Alligator mississippiensis: one gene and its partner. The protein of the gene in region 1 purifies or fractionates together with the protein of each later gene. This does not show direct contact. Links are inferred from orthologs where the notes say so. Each region holds a gene or a part of one and is shown on either strand. Other genes may lie near its edges.

Region 1 (7,878 bases):
CTGTCACAGGGGCTGGGATGGAAGACGGGCGTGTGGGAACGTCTCCCTGGGTTAGACTCAAAGCAGAGCAAGCCAGGCGCTCTGGGGGTCACAGCTCACCAAACACTTGCTTGAGGCAGTGTGCGAGCCCCAGCCCAACCCCTCAGATGTCCTGGTCTGGCTGCATCCTCAAACCTCAGCCCAAGGCCCTGAGGTTAAGGCACAGGCAGAGATGCCAAGCAGAGTCCAGACCCTGCTGCAGAAAGGAAGAAACACCTCTGCCCCCCTCCCCAACGCAAGGGGAAGCTCCCTCCTGACCCCAAGGCAGCATCAGGTTGACCCTGAGCTAAGGTGCAATACCCTCCAGGCAGGACCCCTTGGGGGTGACCGCCAGCAGCATTGGGACAGTCCTGTCACTGGCCCCAGTCTGAACTGTAGCCACCACCCAGCGCTGCTGGACCCCTATAGCAGCCGGAGAAAGAAAATCCCCTCTGGCAGAGCCTCCCAGCCTAGGAAACCCCAGCTCCCTCAGCTACGCCCAGCAGCCACAGTGCAGCCCTGACAATGGCAGTGCCAGGGACAATGCCGGTCCCAGGCGCTCCCCGGTTCTGAGTCACTAACTCAGGGCTCAGCTCTGCTTTCCTGCCTGAGCCTGGTCCCTGCCCACGCACCTGGGTTGAAGAGGATGATGGCGCGCAGACAGCCCAGCTCCGTCTTGTCCATGCGCATGTCCCGCATTTTGGACACCAGCTCCGTCAGCACCCTGGAGACAGGGTGGGGGGAACCCGTCAGCTGGGGGGCTGGAACCCCCACCCTGCCCCAGCCGGGGGAGGGGAGGGGAGGGGAGCTCAGTGCTGGCTCCCCAGCCCCCTCGGCCCCCCCCGCCCCCCACCTGTCAAAGATGGCACCGACACCGGCGCTGTGGGCACTGTTGCGATGCACGTGCAGCCCTGTGGCCAGGAGGATGCCGTCCTTCACCGAGATGGAGCGGTGCGAGAATGACGCGATCAGCAGCTCGTTCCAGCCTGCCAGAAGCCAGGGGAACTTGGTCACTACTGGGCCAGCCCCCCCGCAATCTCCAACCCCCTCTACCCTCCATCATTTCCATCTCCAGACCCTCCCACAGTAAAAAAACAGAGCCCAAACCAGCAGGGCAGGGGTAGACATCCTGGCTCCCCTGACCTCCCTATACTTGCCCCCCGCCCCTTCCCCCAAGCCAGCAGGTCTAACTCCTCCTCCTCCTCCCCCCCACCCCCCCACACTCACCGGCCCGCAGCAGGATGACCTGGTCGTCCAGGGGCAGCTCAGAGAAGTGGGGGATGCGCTTGGCCCATTCCACCAGCGTGAACAGCTGCTTGTCGGCTGCTTGGCAGATGTTGGTTACCGGGTCATTGGGCTGCAGGATCGGGATGGGGAGCGGGGTAGGGGGGAAAATCAGAGGCTGGTGCTGCTGGGATCCCCACCGTGCTCCCCCCACGTCCCCAGCACGGAGCTGCAGCCTTCTTCTCCCCCCAGGACTCTTTCCCAGTCCCCACAGGACACCTCCTCTCCCCTCCTCACCCGCCCCTTCCCCCTGCTGACCGAGCTGCCGCCACTGGCCGACCCGTCCACGCTTTGGTCCGACTTCTGCTCCACAGCCAGCTCAGCGTCCAGGATCTTCTCCACTGGCATTTCCTCGTTGGCGCTGGCCCCCAGCTCATTGTCCCCCTCCTTCTCCTTGCCCCGCTGCCGCTCCTCCTGCACCGCTGGGGGGTGGGGGGCGGTCTCCAGGTCAGCCACAGCCCTCCAAACCCCATGGTCCATCCCCCTCTGGCAGCACTAACCCTGCCCCTTTGCCCCCAGCCCCGCCCCAGGGTATGGGAATCTTCCTTCTTCCAGCAGCCAGGCCCTCCTGGGAGGAGCACATTGGCCCCACCCCCTGGGACCTAGCCCCACCCACCCACCCAGCACATTTGCTCTGCTCCCATCAGCCCTGGCCCCATCCCAGCAGGGTTGGCTACACCCCTAGCACTCCTAGCCTTAACCACAGGTGAAATGACTTCACCCTTCCTGCCAGTAGTCTGGCAGTGCTAGCCACACCCCCTAGCCCATAGCCCTGCCCCAAGACAAGTACCTTCATACTTCAAGCTAGTGGTCCCACAGTGCAAGCCCCACCCCCAGGCTCTAGCCCTACCCCCAATCAAGGTAGCACATGCTTCCTGCTCCCTACGTGCTAACCCTGCTCTCAGAATAATACCTTTACCCTTCATACCTCATACTAGTAGCCCAGCAGTGCTAGCTCCAGCCCCAGACCCTAGCCCCGTACCCAGGCAGGTACCTTCGCGCTTCATGCCGGTGGCCAAGCACTTCTGGTAGCGGCAGTACTGGCAGCGGTTGCGCTGGCGCTTGTCCACCACGCAGTCCTTGTTGTCCCGGCACGTATAGGTCAGGTCCTTGCGGATCGTCCGTTTGAAGAAACCCTTGCAGCCCTCACAGCTGTACACGCCATAGTGCTTACCTGCATAGAAGATGCGGGGCTCAGCAAGGACCCTGGTGTCCAGGGCCTGACCTCCAAGCGTGAAAACTCAGCACCTGGGATTCAGCACTCAGCATTTGGGGCCCGGTGCCACCTTCCTACAACCCACCAGATGCAGCAGAGCTAGGGAAGAACCCAGGTTTCTGGTGTCTGGCCAACCACCAAGACTGCACCACTCCTCAGAGCTGTGATCAAACCCAGGCATCCTGGCTCCCAGACCCCTGCTCCCCTCTCCCCAAAGCTGGGACAGAACCCAAGTGCCTGGGCTCTTCACGGCCCCAAACCCCACTGCTCCCCAGAGGTGGAAGAGCAAAACCCAGGCATCCTAGCTGTCAGCCCTCACCCACTTTAACTCACCAGATCCCCCTAAGTGACAGAGATGAGACAGGAGAACCAGACATCCAAGCTGGCAGCCTCTCCCTGCTTTAACCCACCAGACCCTGCTGCGCCCCAGAGCAGGTAGGAACCCAGGGATCCAGGCTCCCCCCTAGCACTGTAACCCAGCAGGAGACAGGAGCCCAAGGTAAGGCCCAGGTGTCTTGCCCTGCTCTGCACCCCCTGTACCTGATGACCTGTCCCCACAGATGGCGCAGAGGCGCTTCCCAGGCATCATGCCACCGTGGGGGTGGCAGGGAACCCCCCGCATGCCCAACGGCGGCTTCACGTCATCTGAGCTGCTCACCGAGTGCAGCCCTGACAGGTTCACCGTGGAGTTGATCTGTGCCGGGAAGAGCAGAGAGGCATGAACAACTGGTGCCTCCTGAGACTGGGGGGGGGGGGGCGGCACCACCATTTGTAAATGGCAGCGTCAGTGGGGGAGGGGGGCAAGCAGCGAGCGGGGCCCATCCAGACACCACTGGCGACAGCGAGGCAGGTGCACGCGGTAAGCGGCGACCACCCGCACAAGCCAGCAGCGGCCAATCTCAGCCCCCCCCAACGTGCCCCGTCTACCAGTTGCTTATGGGGAGGGGAGAAGGGATCAGTGCGGGGAGCGAGCCACACGCCCCCACCCAGCTGCACTGGGGGAGCACCTGCCCCTAATCCCCTGCCCACCCGCCAAGGCTGGGGGGAGCCCCTGCCCTGCCCACTCCCCGCAAAGCCTTTGCGCCCCCTCGGGCCACCAGGACCCCCTCGGGTCACCTGCGATGCCCCCTGGTGACCCCCTCAGGCCACCCGAAATCCCCTCCATACCCTCACTACAACCAAGACCACCCCCCTCCCCCGCGACCCCTTGGTGGCCCAGCCACCCCTGGGTGACCCGCGACCCCCCCCCCCTGCCCCCTTGGAGGTCCGGCCACCCCTGGGTGACCCCGTGACCCCCCCGCGACCCCTGGGTGACCCGCGTGATGGCGGCGCGGCGCGGCGCGGCCCTACCTGCGGGCTGCTGACGGGCCCGTAGCCGACGGCGGGCGTGGCGGGCAGGCCGGGGGAGCCCATGGAGGAGCTGATGACGGGGAAGGGGGAGCCGAGGCTGGCGCCGGGCGAGCCCAGGGCGGAGGTCATGGCCGCACCGATCATGGAGGGCGGCAGCGGGGCCGGGGGCTCCGGCGGGGGCGGCGGCGACGAGCTGAGCGACGAGCTGTCCGGGCTGCGGCAGTCTGGGGGAGGGGTCACGGGGCTGTGACCTCTGACCCCGCGACCCCGCCCCACCCCGCCCTCGCGCCCACGCCCGCCGCACGTGACCCCCCCCCGTCGCCATGGCAACAGCCCCGCGCTCACCGCGGTCGCTGTCTCCCATCCCGCCCCGCCCCGCCCGGGGGCTCCGGGCCGCGCACCCCCGGGCTCCGGCCTGCTCCGCCGCCGCGGGACCCGCACTCCCACACTGCACCGCGCCGCCGCCCGCCCCGGCCCGGCCCGGCATGCCCCGCGCGCGCCTGCACGGCCGCCGTCGTCCCGGCCTGCACCGCGCCGCGGCCCGCTGTCCCTCGCTGTCACCATAGAGACGGCGCGTCCCGCTCGGTCCCCGCGCGCGACCCGCCAAACCGCCTTCACACGCACCATAGAGACGAGGCTCCCACGCCCGCTCCCCCTGCACCATAGAGACAGTTCATTCCAAACAGTCCTCCCGTGACCGTGGGGACGCGGTGTCCCGCACCTGTGCACACCCCTTGTGAGTCACCGGGGCGGGCACGTCCCAGACTGTCCGCTCTTGGGCTGGGAGGGGGGTTAGAAACTTCATCATCCCGCAACAAAGATGGCGGTCGCTAGTCCGGCCTTCCCCTGCCCCTCACAAAGATGGCTCCCGGACACTGCAGGGCTGCCATGTCGGTGAGGGCAAGATTAGGTCATGCGCGGCCGCCATTTTTGTGAGGGGCAAGCCCGCCTTGACAGGGTGCTTCCCGGGCCTGTGGCGGCCGCCATGTTTGTGAGGGGCAGCGCCTTCCGCGTCGGAGGGGCCGACGCTGAGGGCTGGTCCCGCGAGATGCTGCGGGGCGGAGCCTGAGTGCCACGTAAGGGCGAGCCTGAGGTAGCGGATCCCAGGCACGGTGAGCAACCCCCAGGGCACAAAGACGGGCAGGGGCAGAGGGGCCAGGTCCCCCCGGGGCGTAGAGCGGCACGGGTGGCGCCCCACAGGGGCACGCGGCGGTGGACGGCCGGGCCCATAGAGACAAGCGGGAGCTAGAGGGGCCGCCCGGCGCCGGAGGAGCGCCGCGGAGCCCTTCTGTGGGCCATAGGGACAGAGCGAAGGCTGGCCGGAGCGGCAGCTCATGGCCTCCTTCCCCGTGGCCACAGAGACGAGGGGCGGCGCGTGGACCGCGAGGCTAGAAGGGCCCTGGGTGCGGGGACCATAGAAACCTCTGGGTGGCGAGGGCCGGAAGGGCCAGCCGGATGTGAGGACGTGGGCAAGAGGAGACGGGCGCCCCCAGCGACGCTCTAGCTGCTCTCCCGTCCGTCTCTATGACCCAGTCCATGGTGGCGCTTTCCCTGGGACGCGCAGAACCACGTGACCCTCAGCGAACGCCTCCGCAGGCACCACTCTAGGCCCCTCCTTCCTACTCTATGTTGCATCCTGCCGCCCCGCCCCCCCCCCCCCATGAGTCTGTAGGGTTGTGTCTCCCTTGCCTCCCTGGAGCTGGGCTGGGGGTGTCTGGACCCCCTCCCTTGCCCCTATGATCTTGCTCTACCTCCCCTCAGATCTTTCCCCATCCCTTCGTCCCCAGCCTGTGGCCCTGCACTGACCCCCTCCCTCCTCGGGACGTGCAGGGGGCAGCATGGGCCTGACAGCGAGGGGCATATTTCCCCTCCCTCTTCCCAGCAGCGGCAGTACAATGGCAGCCCCTCGCCTAGCGCGGAGCCGAACAGGACTCTGCAGCCCACTCGCAGTCATGGTGGCCTGCGTGGTGTTGATACCGACCGCCTCCCAGCATGAGGACTTCCATGGCCACTCGCACGAGGGCTTGCACCACGGGCACAGCCATGCTGCCCACGGCCACTCGCATGAGGACCATGGCCATGGCCACTCGCACAAGCACCCGGACCATGGCCACAGCCACGCCGACCACGGCCACTCGCATGAAGACTTCTCCCACGGGCACAGCCACGCTCACCATAGCCACGTGCACGAGGACTTCCATGACCATGGCCACGTGCACGAGGACTTCCACGGCCATGGCCACGTGCACGAGGACTTCCACGGCCATGGCCACGTGCACGAGGACTTCCATGGCCATAGCCATGCTCACCATGGCCATTCGCACAATGACCTGCACCATGGCCATGATCACTTGCACGTTGACATCCACCTGGGTCATGCCCACGAGGGTCTCCATGGCCCTGGGCAGGCTGATGCTAGGCACCCTGCAGAGGACTCCCCCAGCCAGCAGCTGCCACAGGAGCGGCTGGACCCAGTCCAGTTGTGGACCCATGTAAGTTCCTGCATAGCATGATGGAGGCGTCATGAGCTGCACACCAGGGCTCCAGTGGCTGCCTGACTACGTCTCTCCTCTCTTTCACTCTCCAGGCCGTGGGTGCCACGCTGCTGATCAGCGCTGCCCCTTACTTCATTCTCTTCCTCATTCCTGTGGAGTCCAACACGTCCCAGCACCAGGCCCTGCTCAAGCTGCTGCTCAGCTTTGCCTCAGGAGGGCTCCTGGGAGATGCCTTCCTGCACCTCATCCCCCACGCCCTGGGTGAGTCCCAGGCTGGCTTGGGAGGGGGCAGGGGCTGTGCCCCTGCCTTCATCCCTGATCTCTCTGGCCTCTTCCCTCCCCAGTGCCCCATTCCCACCACGCAGAGGGCAGCCACACCCACTCCCACCCACAGGTGCCTGGACACGGACATTCCCACCAAGGTAAAGGTGGGGGTGAGCAGGGGAGGGGGGAGCATGTTGGGTACAGGGTGGCTAAGCTGCAGCCACACCCTGACCCCCTGCGCTGGTCCTGCCACCCCCAGGGCCAGAGCATGAGCAGATGATGTCAGTGGGGATCTGGGTGCTGGCCGGGATTGTTGCCTTCCTGGTGGTGGAGAAATTTGTGCGACACGTGAAGGGGGGACACGGACATGGGCACAGCCACAATGGGCAAAGCCACGGTACGTGCAGTCTAGGAACACCCCTCTTCTTCCTGGGCCCCTACAGTCTCCCTCCAGCCACATTCCTGGTCCCTGCTGGGGCTCAGGGAATTTCATTAGGACCCGCCATCGCAGCCTGTGAGGCAGAGCCTTCATCTCCCTGCTAGCAAGGGCTGGGGAGCTCCTGTCCCCAGCAGGTAGCTCTCAGAGGGGTCATACATAATCCCTGAGGAGGGGGAGGGGGCTCCTGAGGGGATGGGGCCGGGGGGTGGTGCGGGGGTCCCTGTAACCTTGTGTACATGATCTCATGCCCCATTGTCTCTCCATAGCCCCCAAGGCAAAGAGCAGCTCCGGAGAGGAGGATGAGGGGCCCCGGGTCGAAGGGCTGCGGGAGAGGAAGGCCGGCCGGAGTGGTGTCCCCGACATGGCAGTGCAGAGGAAGAGAGGCCAGGAGCGCGAGCCGGGGACCCTGGAGTCCAGTGAGAGAGGGGGCAAGGGGGCTGGGATTTAGGTCGGGGCTAGAGGGGGGAGGCACAGGATAGGGAGTCCTTCGCTCTCACTGGCCCCCACCCCTGTCCCCCACTGCAGCGATGCGGGTGTCAGGCTACCTGAACCTGGCAGCCGACCTGGCACACAACTTCACAGACGGGCTGGCCATCGGGGCCTCCTTTCTGGCGGGCACCGGCGTGGGGGCTGTGACCACGCTCACTGTTCTGCTGCACGAGGTGCCCCATGAGGTCGGGGACTTCGCCATCCTCGTTCAGTCTGGCTGCAGCAAGCGCAAGGTAACATGGACCCACTCCCTTCCCACCCCCTCCCCTGGGAGTCACCCTCCAGGACCTCCGTCCCTTAGGGGGCATCCTGATGTCCAGCCA
Region 2 (7,970 bases), on another chromosome or scaffold:
CCGCCCCTGCTCCTTGGAGGCAGAGGGGGATGGAGAGAGGGGAAAATGGGCCTGGACCCAAAGCAGCAGGGCGGGAGCAGGGGGGGAATGGGGCTGGACGCAGGGCTCCATCCCCCCCACCCCACCCATGACAACAGGGACTGAAGAGCCAGAGCAGGTGGGTGAAGCCTGTGGTGCTGGGCTCATCCCCTCACTCTTGCACATGGGGCCAGATGCAGAGGGTGGGGGAGGGTGCATGGGGCCGGAGGCAGATGCAGCCTCACCGCCACATACAACAGCATCCTGTGTGGGGTGCTGGTGGCACAGCGCTGGCCTGGCCTCTCCCGCTCTGGCGCATGGGGCCGGATGCAGGGGTGGGGGTGGGACACACAGGGCCAGAGGCAGAGCGGCAGCACCGTGGGGCGCTGAGTGCCAGCACTCTGTTCCCGCCAGTCTGCCTCCTGCCCCTGCAGGTGATTCTTGATGGGCAATTGGCTAGTATATGTATAATAGTAATCTAAAAATGTCTGCAACATGTCTTTATAAAACTGACAGCCAAATTCCATCTTAAAATATTTTCTAATCTTCTACTGAATTTCATAGTTCTCCTAGTTTGCACATAATAGAGAGGAAAAAGCCAAGCACAGGCCTTCTCATACACTTTTGTTCTATTTTTTTGTACCAGACTTTTCCTTTACTTTACTTTTACTTGGATGGAGGTGAAAACAAATAGACTCAAATGATGATCTTCTCAGGTATTATCATTAATTTAATATTACTACTAAATAATTAGAACATGCAGGATTTGGAACTGTTGACTCAGAGCATACTGACTAATATATGTATATTTTCTTTTTGTAGGTAACATGAGAACCTGCACCTGTACATTCTGAGAGCTGGAATATGGATTGAAAGACTATCATCTGCAAACTGCTACTTCATTTCCCAGGACCCACGAAAACCATTCTGCAGGGATTAAAGTAAGAGCAGATAGATGTCTTCTGTATAATGCCCTCTAGATCTCCTAATATCAGAAAGTACACAGGCAGTTTTACTTAAACCAGCAGAAAGAACTGGAACATGCATTGTTTCAGAATTCCTCAGTGTCTTCCTGAGTTATCACTTTATTTCCTGATGAAAAGCCCCCTGCCCAGACGTTCTTGACACACACATAATGATCTGCAATGCAATTTCTCAGCTCTCACAATTCATCTACAAGATCTATCTTGAGAATTCAAAAAGAATTGCCCAATTTCGGTTTTCTCAAAGTAAAAGTCAAGTAAGTTCCATTAATTTTAATGGACAATTTAGCAGTCTCAAGGTCTTTACTGGCTCTTATGATCTGTCATCCTTTGGAGTTAAGACATATGAAAGGTAAAGTTCGTTTTCCACTGTAAGTGAGATGATTTCTACAATTTACAAAGGAAATGTAGGAATATAACCCCAAGTAATCTCTTTCAGAAATTCTGTGCATCAGAATGATTGCAGAATGTCACCATTTGTGTTTTTTCCTCCTCCTTTTCCTTTTCCAGTTCCCAAATAATAAATGAGTATTAGTTACAAGCTTATAAACTTGGCTGACTTTATATACTGGCTCTCAGACTTACCTGAAATCATATGGATTGCAGCTTTAAAACAATAGTATCTGAACTGGACAATGAATGTGTTTCAATAATATATTGAAAAATCCCATAATTTATATCTCACTCATTAATTTGTTATTGTTTACTAGCCCTATATGCTATAGACATCTGTTGGATGTTAAAAAGTGGCATTACAATTTCAAATCTGTTCATCTGGGGGAAAAGCAAACAAATCATCTCAAATCCAAGACATTTCACTAACAGTACATTTAACTGTTTTTTTTTAACTTTCTTTAAAATTATTAAGCAAGTGCAACTTTTGTCATCTGAACTCCAGGAAAGCCAAGCATCTTGTAGGCCAGTAATTTGGGAAAGCTCCTAAAGCTCTTCACCCCTGGATTGTCTGTGCATCAACACCTAAAACTACTTTTAAGCACTCAATGGGCAGCTCAAAGTGATGCTACTCTAGGTCAGGACTAGCTCTGATTCATGTAACCCAGCTCATGTTACACTAAAGTGCTGTGCTGGCTCCTCTTCCCTGCTGACCTGCTGCCCCCCACACTTCTCAGCAACCCAGAGCCCTTCTCACTGTTCTCACTGCTCCTCGCCCTTCCCCATTTACCTGTGGCTGCCTGGTTAACTCTTCCCTGCCTGCTCCCTTGGGACAGATGGCCATGAAGGGCTGACTGCCAGTCCGCAGGAGGGCTGGCTGCTGGACTGGAAGTGACTGCATACCAGCAAACTGCGGACTAGTAGCCAACCCTTTTTTACATTTGGCTGCCTGCCCGCAGTATGCCAGTCACTACTGGTCCACAGTTTGCTAGTCCACAGTCACTTCCAGTCCATGGTTTGCCAGTCCTCAGCATAAAAAGGTTGGGAACCAGTGCTTCAGACTAACTCGGCTGACTACCCCACCCAGGGGTGGATCCAAGGGGGCTGCACTTGCACCTCCCTTTGATTCGACTCAAAGTTTAAAACCAGCTGCTTTGCAGTGACAGCATTTCTGTCAGGCGGTACTGAGGGAGTCAACTAACTTTCTGGCTCGTTGTCACATACTGGATCCTTTCTAAACTCTCTGCTCCCTAGGTATTAACAACCCCTCTCTTCTGTTTTAATGGTGTGGATGTTCCACCACTGAAGCTGGCCTCTGTTCTGCACCTCTGCTGTCTGTTGACTACTCCTGGCATGAATGACCGGTGCCTCCCAAGAGGGCTGACTGGGGGGATGACTGGAGGGCCAGCATTTGTAGGTGTTGGGAGTGAGCAGCAAGTGGGGACTACCCACAGATGCCGTTGGCAGTAGCAGGGGGGAGAGGGGTGGCGAGCAGGGACCACCTGCAATCGCTGCCAGCGGCAGCGAGGGGGGGGTAGTGAGTGGTGAGTGACCACCTGCAGATTCTTGCTGCTGGGGGGGGGGGGGGAGGGCGGGGCGCGAGTGGTGAGCACTCGCAGAAGCCGGCAGCGCCATCGACCAATCTCAGTGTGAATCTTCAGTCTTAAAGAGAAGCACACAGCCCTGGGCCCCTGGCATATTGACAAAGCTACTAGTTTGTCTTTACCTGGAGACGCCAGTCAGATGGATTGCACATTGTCTGAGGGGTTGTACTCAGAAAGTGGTGGTGGATGGGTCATTTTGAACCTGGAGGGAAGCGGGCAGTGGGGTTCCCCAGGGCTCGGTCCTCGGGCCCGCACTGTTCAATTTCTTTATTAGTGACTTGGACAATGAGGTGAAGAGCAGCCTGTTTAAATTCACAGATGACACCAAGATTTGGGGTGAGGTGGGAAGGGAAGAACAGATTATAGCAGGACCTGGACAGGTTACAGGGGTGGGCAAATGAAAGTAGGATGGGATTCAATACTGACAAGTGCAGGGTGCTGCACTTGGGCAGTAGGAACCAGCAGCATACCTATAGGCTGGGGAATTCCCTTCTCGAAAGCATGGTGGCAGAAAGAGATCTTGGGGTCATTATTGACTCCAAGATGAACACGGGCCGATAATGCGAGAACATGGTCAGTAGGGCTAACCGTACTTTGTCGTGCATCCACAGATGCACCACAAGCAGGGCCAAGGTGATCCTCCCCCTCTACGCGATGCTGATCAGCATTGAGAGGGTCCAAAGGAGGGCCACCCGCATGATCCGGGGACAGCAGGGCAGACCCTACGAGGAGGGGCTACAGGACTTTAACCTGTTCAGCCTCCACAAGAGAAGGCTGAGGGGGGACTTGGTGGCCATCTATAAACTTACTAGTGTAGACCAACAGGGTTTGGAAGAGACCTTGTTCCCCCTGAGCACCTCCCAGAGTAACAAGGAATAACGGCCATAAGTTGCTAGAGAGTAGGTTTAGACTAGAACTCAGGAGGCACTATTTCACTGCCAGGGCAGCTAGGATCTGGAATCAACTTCCAAGGGAAGTGGTGCTGGCTCCTACCCCGGGGGTCTTTAAGAGGAGGCTCGATGTTTACCAGGCTGGGGTCATTTGAGCCCAGCTTTCTCTCCTGCCCAGGGCAGGGGGTTGGACTAGATCTACAAGGTCCCTTCCGACCCTATATCTATGAATCTATAAGGCTGCAGGTTTGATCATGAGACACAAGACCCCCCCTGCCTTGGGCTGGGGGTTGGACTAGATCAGTGATTCTCAACCTATGGGTCGCAAAAATATATGAAAGTGTTGTGAACAAACCTTTCAAAAATGGATCAAGGGGAAAAAAGTGGGAAGCTGTGGCCTTTCCCTTGCAGGCTGGCAGAGTTGCAGCCTGCGAGGAGCTACTTGGGGCCCCCCATCCTGCCCCGCACACTGGGAGGCTGGGGGTGGGGGGCACTGGGTCAGGACTGGCCATCAACATTTACAAATGGGTTCTGGTACAAAAAAAGTTTGAGAAGTGCTGGACTCGATGGCTTCTTTAAGTTCCTTTTAAGCCTACTCCTCTGCTTTGTAAACCCATGGGTTGCTTTACCGGCCATGATGCACTCCGCTTCCGTGCAACCCCAGGTCCGCCCCGACCCGGGACAAAGGGCTTGAGGCTGTGGAGCTGAGAGGGGGAGCACTGACTGCAGCCTCGTGCTTAGGACACTAGAGAAGTAGAAAGAGGCTGATCTGTCTCCAAGGTCCTGCCACAAGGCAGGTCTGACCCTGGGATTGAACCCAGACCCCGCCCACCAACCGCCTGCCCCAGGCCGCGGGCACCAGATGGTGGAAGCCACCAAGCTCCCAGCGGAGCGGCTTTAAGCCTGTGACTCAAGCACAAGGGACCGCCCCGGCGCCTCAGCCGCGCATGCGCAGACCCCCTCCCCCGCAGGGGCTGGGAGCTCAGCGCCTCGGTCACGTGATGGCAACAGCCGGGCCGGCGGGAGCGTCCGTGGCAGCGCCCTCAGCGCGGGCTTCCGGTTCCGGCGCCGCAGCAGGGCCCGGCCGCGCTTAGGCCGCGGGGCGCGGGGAGGCGGCGGCCGGGCCGGCGCCATGGGGCCGGCGCTGCGCTGGCTGCTGGCCGGGCTGGTTCTGGGCGCACTGGGCGCGGAGCCCCGGGCCGAGCAGCAGCAGCCCCGCTCGCCGTCCCTCACCGCCGCCCCCGGCGGGGCCACGCCGAGCGGCGGCAGTAGCAGCAGCAGCGGTAGCGGCCTGCCTGCCGTGTCGGCGCCGGCCCCGCAGACCCCGCCCATGACCCAGCGCGCCCTGTCCGTGCTCGTGCTGGCCAGCGCCGCCCTCATTGTCTACTTCGTCATCCGGACCGTGCGGTGAGCGCCGCGCCGCGCCGTGCCGTGCTAGGCACCCCCACTTCCCACCCCCTTTTCCCATGGGGTTGCTGCTCGCGCCCTCCCCCGCGGCCCGCGGGCCACAGCCCAGCACCTGTGCTCGGGGCCGGTGTCCGCTCAGCTTCCAGCCCCACCAGGTTGCGACGATGGGGCCCTGGGCAGAAAGGCTGGCGAAGTGTCCCGTCTAAGCTGCTGTTGGACACTGTGGCCTGTGCAAAATGGGAGGCTTGGTAGGGCTTCTGAATTAGAGCTTCCTGCACCTTAAGGGCGCCTCTGCACAAGCAGAACTGAGGCTGTAGCGACAGCGCCTTAGAGCAGGCTCGATTAATCGCCTCAGTCACACGATGGCCAATTCATTGAGTCTGCTGGAGCATGGTAATTACCGCGACGCAGGAAGCTCCTGCATCACGTGTATCAGCGTCCCTGCGCTGGAAAATGTCAGCAGGGGTGCTTCAACTAAAGCTCGTTTAAGTTCCCCTGCTGCCATTTTTTATCGCAGGAATACTGGTGCGCGTGACGCTCGGGGCACTTTAATTAGAGCACTGTAATTAAAGCGCCCCACCCCTCCACTCCCAGAGCACAAGTATAAATGCGTAAGTACTGGAGGCTGCAAGTGAAAGGGGAACAGTTGAAGGAAAAAATCCTGGTTGTAGCCAGTTCGTTCTTCCTGTCTGCTGCTGTGTGACGCAGGCCTGTTTGACACATAGGGTTAATTCAGGCTTGATGCCCATGGCGTAATAGTTATACTCCATCATGGACGATTGGTGCCTTCTGAGTCAGGGAGGACGCTTGCTCTCCAGTGGCTAGTCAGCAACCAGAAGTGCCAGCAGCGCTTCTCCTGGCAGCCCTACTCCCCGGCTGGTGCTCTCAGGGAGGGCACAAGTGCTCCCACCTGCCCCCCCACCTGTCACCTAAGGGAATGCTGGCTGTCAGGGGCCCCCCGCTGGCTGTCAAGGGGTGCACCAGCGCTCTCAGGAGGTGCACATGCACCCCTTTGCACCCCCTGCGCATCGTCATTGGCTTCTGCCCTGTTATAGTTTCATAGTAGGTAGGGTCAGAAGGGACCCAAGTAGATCATCAAGTCCAACCCCCTGCCACGGGCAGGAAAGAATGCTGGGGTCAAACGAGCCCGGCTAGGTGATTATCCAGCCTCCTTTTGAAGACCCCCAGGGTAGGATATTGGGGCAGGGAGAACTATTGGTTATACATCAGTTGATTTGGGAGGAGAACTAAAGAGAAAACAGGAGCAGGAGTGAGGTCATAGGTTGAAAACAAGTGCCCCAAGGGGGGACACCAAGCAGAGTATGCTGGGCTGAGTGGCATAAGCCTGTTTGACACACAGGGCCTTTAGCCCACAGAGAAAGTTAGTTCCCCATGTTAATAGAGGGAGTTATTGGATATGTGTCAGCTAAACTCATGGGACAAATAAAAGACAAAAGAGGAGCAGCAGTGAAGTTTTATAGGATAAAAATCAGTGCGTCAAGGGGGGATGCCAAGCAGAGCACACCAGACTGAGAGAGAGAGAGAGGCCCGTTTGCCACTTTGAGGGATTGTGGGCCAGTGCCCATGTAAAACTAAAAGCCTTCCTCAGAAAGGGAGGCTACCAGGCAAGTAGCAACTGATTTATGGGGACAAATGATAACAAAACAGGGACAGGAGTGAGGGTCAAAGGTGTATAACTAGTATACTGAAGAGGGGCACTGAGTAGAGCACACTGGGCTGAGTGACAGAGGCAACTGGGCAAGACAGGTCTATGGTTTGACCCAGTAAATGAACAGTTGTGTTCAGCCCAGAGGTCCTTGTTTGGCAGTTGTAATGTTAGTATAACAAACATTTCATGTCACTCTGATCCCCCAAAGGCTAACACTAGGTTTTGAGTATGTTTGCAGTGCTGCTGAAAGAATTCCCTTGCTAGCTTGTTTTTAGTATAGCACCATGATTTCGCTGACTCTTTTACCAGGACTGCTTTTTTCCCCACTATATCAAACATTTGCATTTAAGTTTTAATACTTTTCGTTGTTATTTCTAAAGCTTTTCATGGATTAATCCTCCCCTTCTTTAAGCCAGTGAGTCTACTCATTGTTGCACAGCTGTCAATTTTTCTTTTTTCTTATTTTTCTTTGTGCTTTCCCCCACATTACTACAAAAGCTCCTCCCTTTAAAATCACCACTATATTATCCTCCTTTTAATTTCTGCATAGAAGTCAGTCATTGTTTGCCTGCAAAATGCTGAATGGTACATAGGTAGCTGTAGTAGAGAGATTGCTACTGGGTACACTAGCCATAACTATCTCTGAACTTCTTTTGCTTTTCCACTTCTTTCTATTGCCCTGTTTCTTCCTTTGTTCTGTAACCTGTTCAGGTTAGAGCCCTTTTTTGTGTGTATGCTTGAAGTATCTGGTAAACTGAGGTTTCTAGAAACTATTCTACAAATAATGATTTGTAGGGGAAAAAACAGCATCTCCCAAACTTCAGGCAGACACCAGAGATGCAAGCCAGAGAGGTCTGAGAACTCACACTCTGGAATTTCTTTCCCTTTTTCTTTTCTTGATTTATATTTTGCCTCTCCCCAAAAAATGGTCAGAACAGCTTACAACAGAAGGGGAAAAAAAACCCTTATAAGACAGGTAAAATATTAAGATTATATAAGGTACATA

Evidence for each region.
Region 2: the proteins of SLC39A7 (region 1) and FAM174A purify together in Homo sapiens (co-immunoprecipitation; 3 studies listed by BioGRID and IntAct, with this or other methods). This does not show direct contact. The link is inferred for Alligator mississippiensis from reciprocal best matches to the Homo sapiens genes SLC39A7 and FAM174A.

What each region holds. Positions count from the first base shown.
Region 1 is NC_081834.1:64,752,326-64,760,203, forward strand, and holds the start of SLC39A7 (zinc transporter SLC39A7), read left to right. Parts: upstream 1-4,871; 5' UTR 4,872-4,980; intron 4,981-5,750; 5' UTR 5,751-5,763; coding exon 5,764-6,360; intron 6,361-6,455; coding exon 6,456-6,624; intron 6,625-6,707; coding exon 6,708-6,785; intron 6,786-6,886; coding exon 6,887-7,024; intron 7,025-7,332; coding exon 7,333-7,482; intron 7,483-7,591; coding exon 7,592-7,788; intron 7,789-7,878. Other genes in the region: RXRB (retinoic acid receptor RXR-beta), read right to left, coding at 651-742, 872-1,004, 1,246-1,375, 1,561-1,724, 2,297-2,476, 3,059-3,212, 3,869-4,092, 4,493-4,532. UniProt on the Homo sapiens protein: Transports Zn(2+) from the endoplasmic reticulum (ER)/Golgi apparatus to the cytosol, playing an essential role in the regulation of cytosolic zinc levels.
Region 2 is NC_081826.1:235,736,953-235,744,922, reverse strand, and holds the start of FAM174A (membrane protein FAM174A), read left to right. Parts: upstream 1-4,968; 5' UTR 4,969-5,020; coding exon 5,021-5,295; intron 5,296-7,970.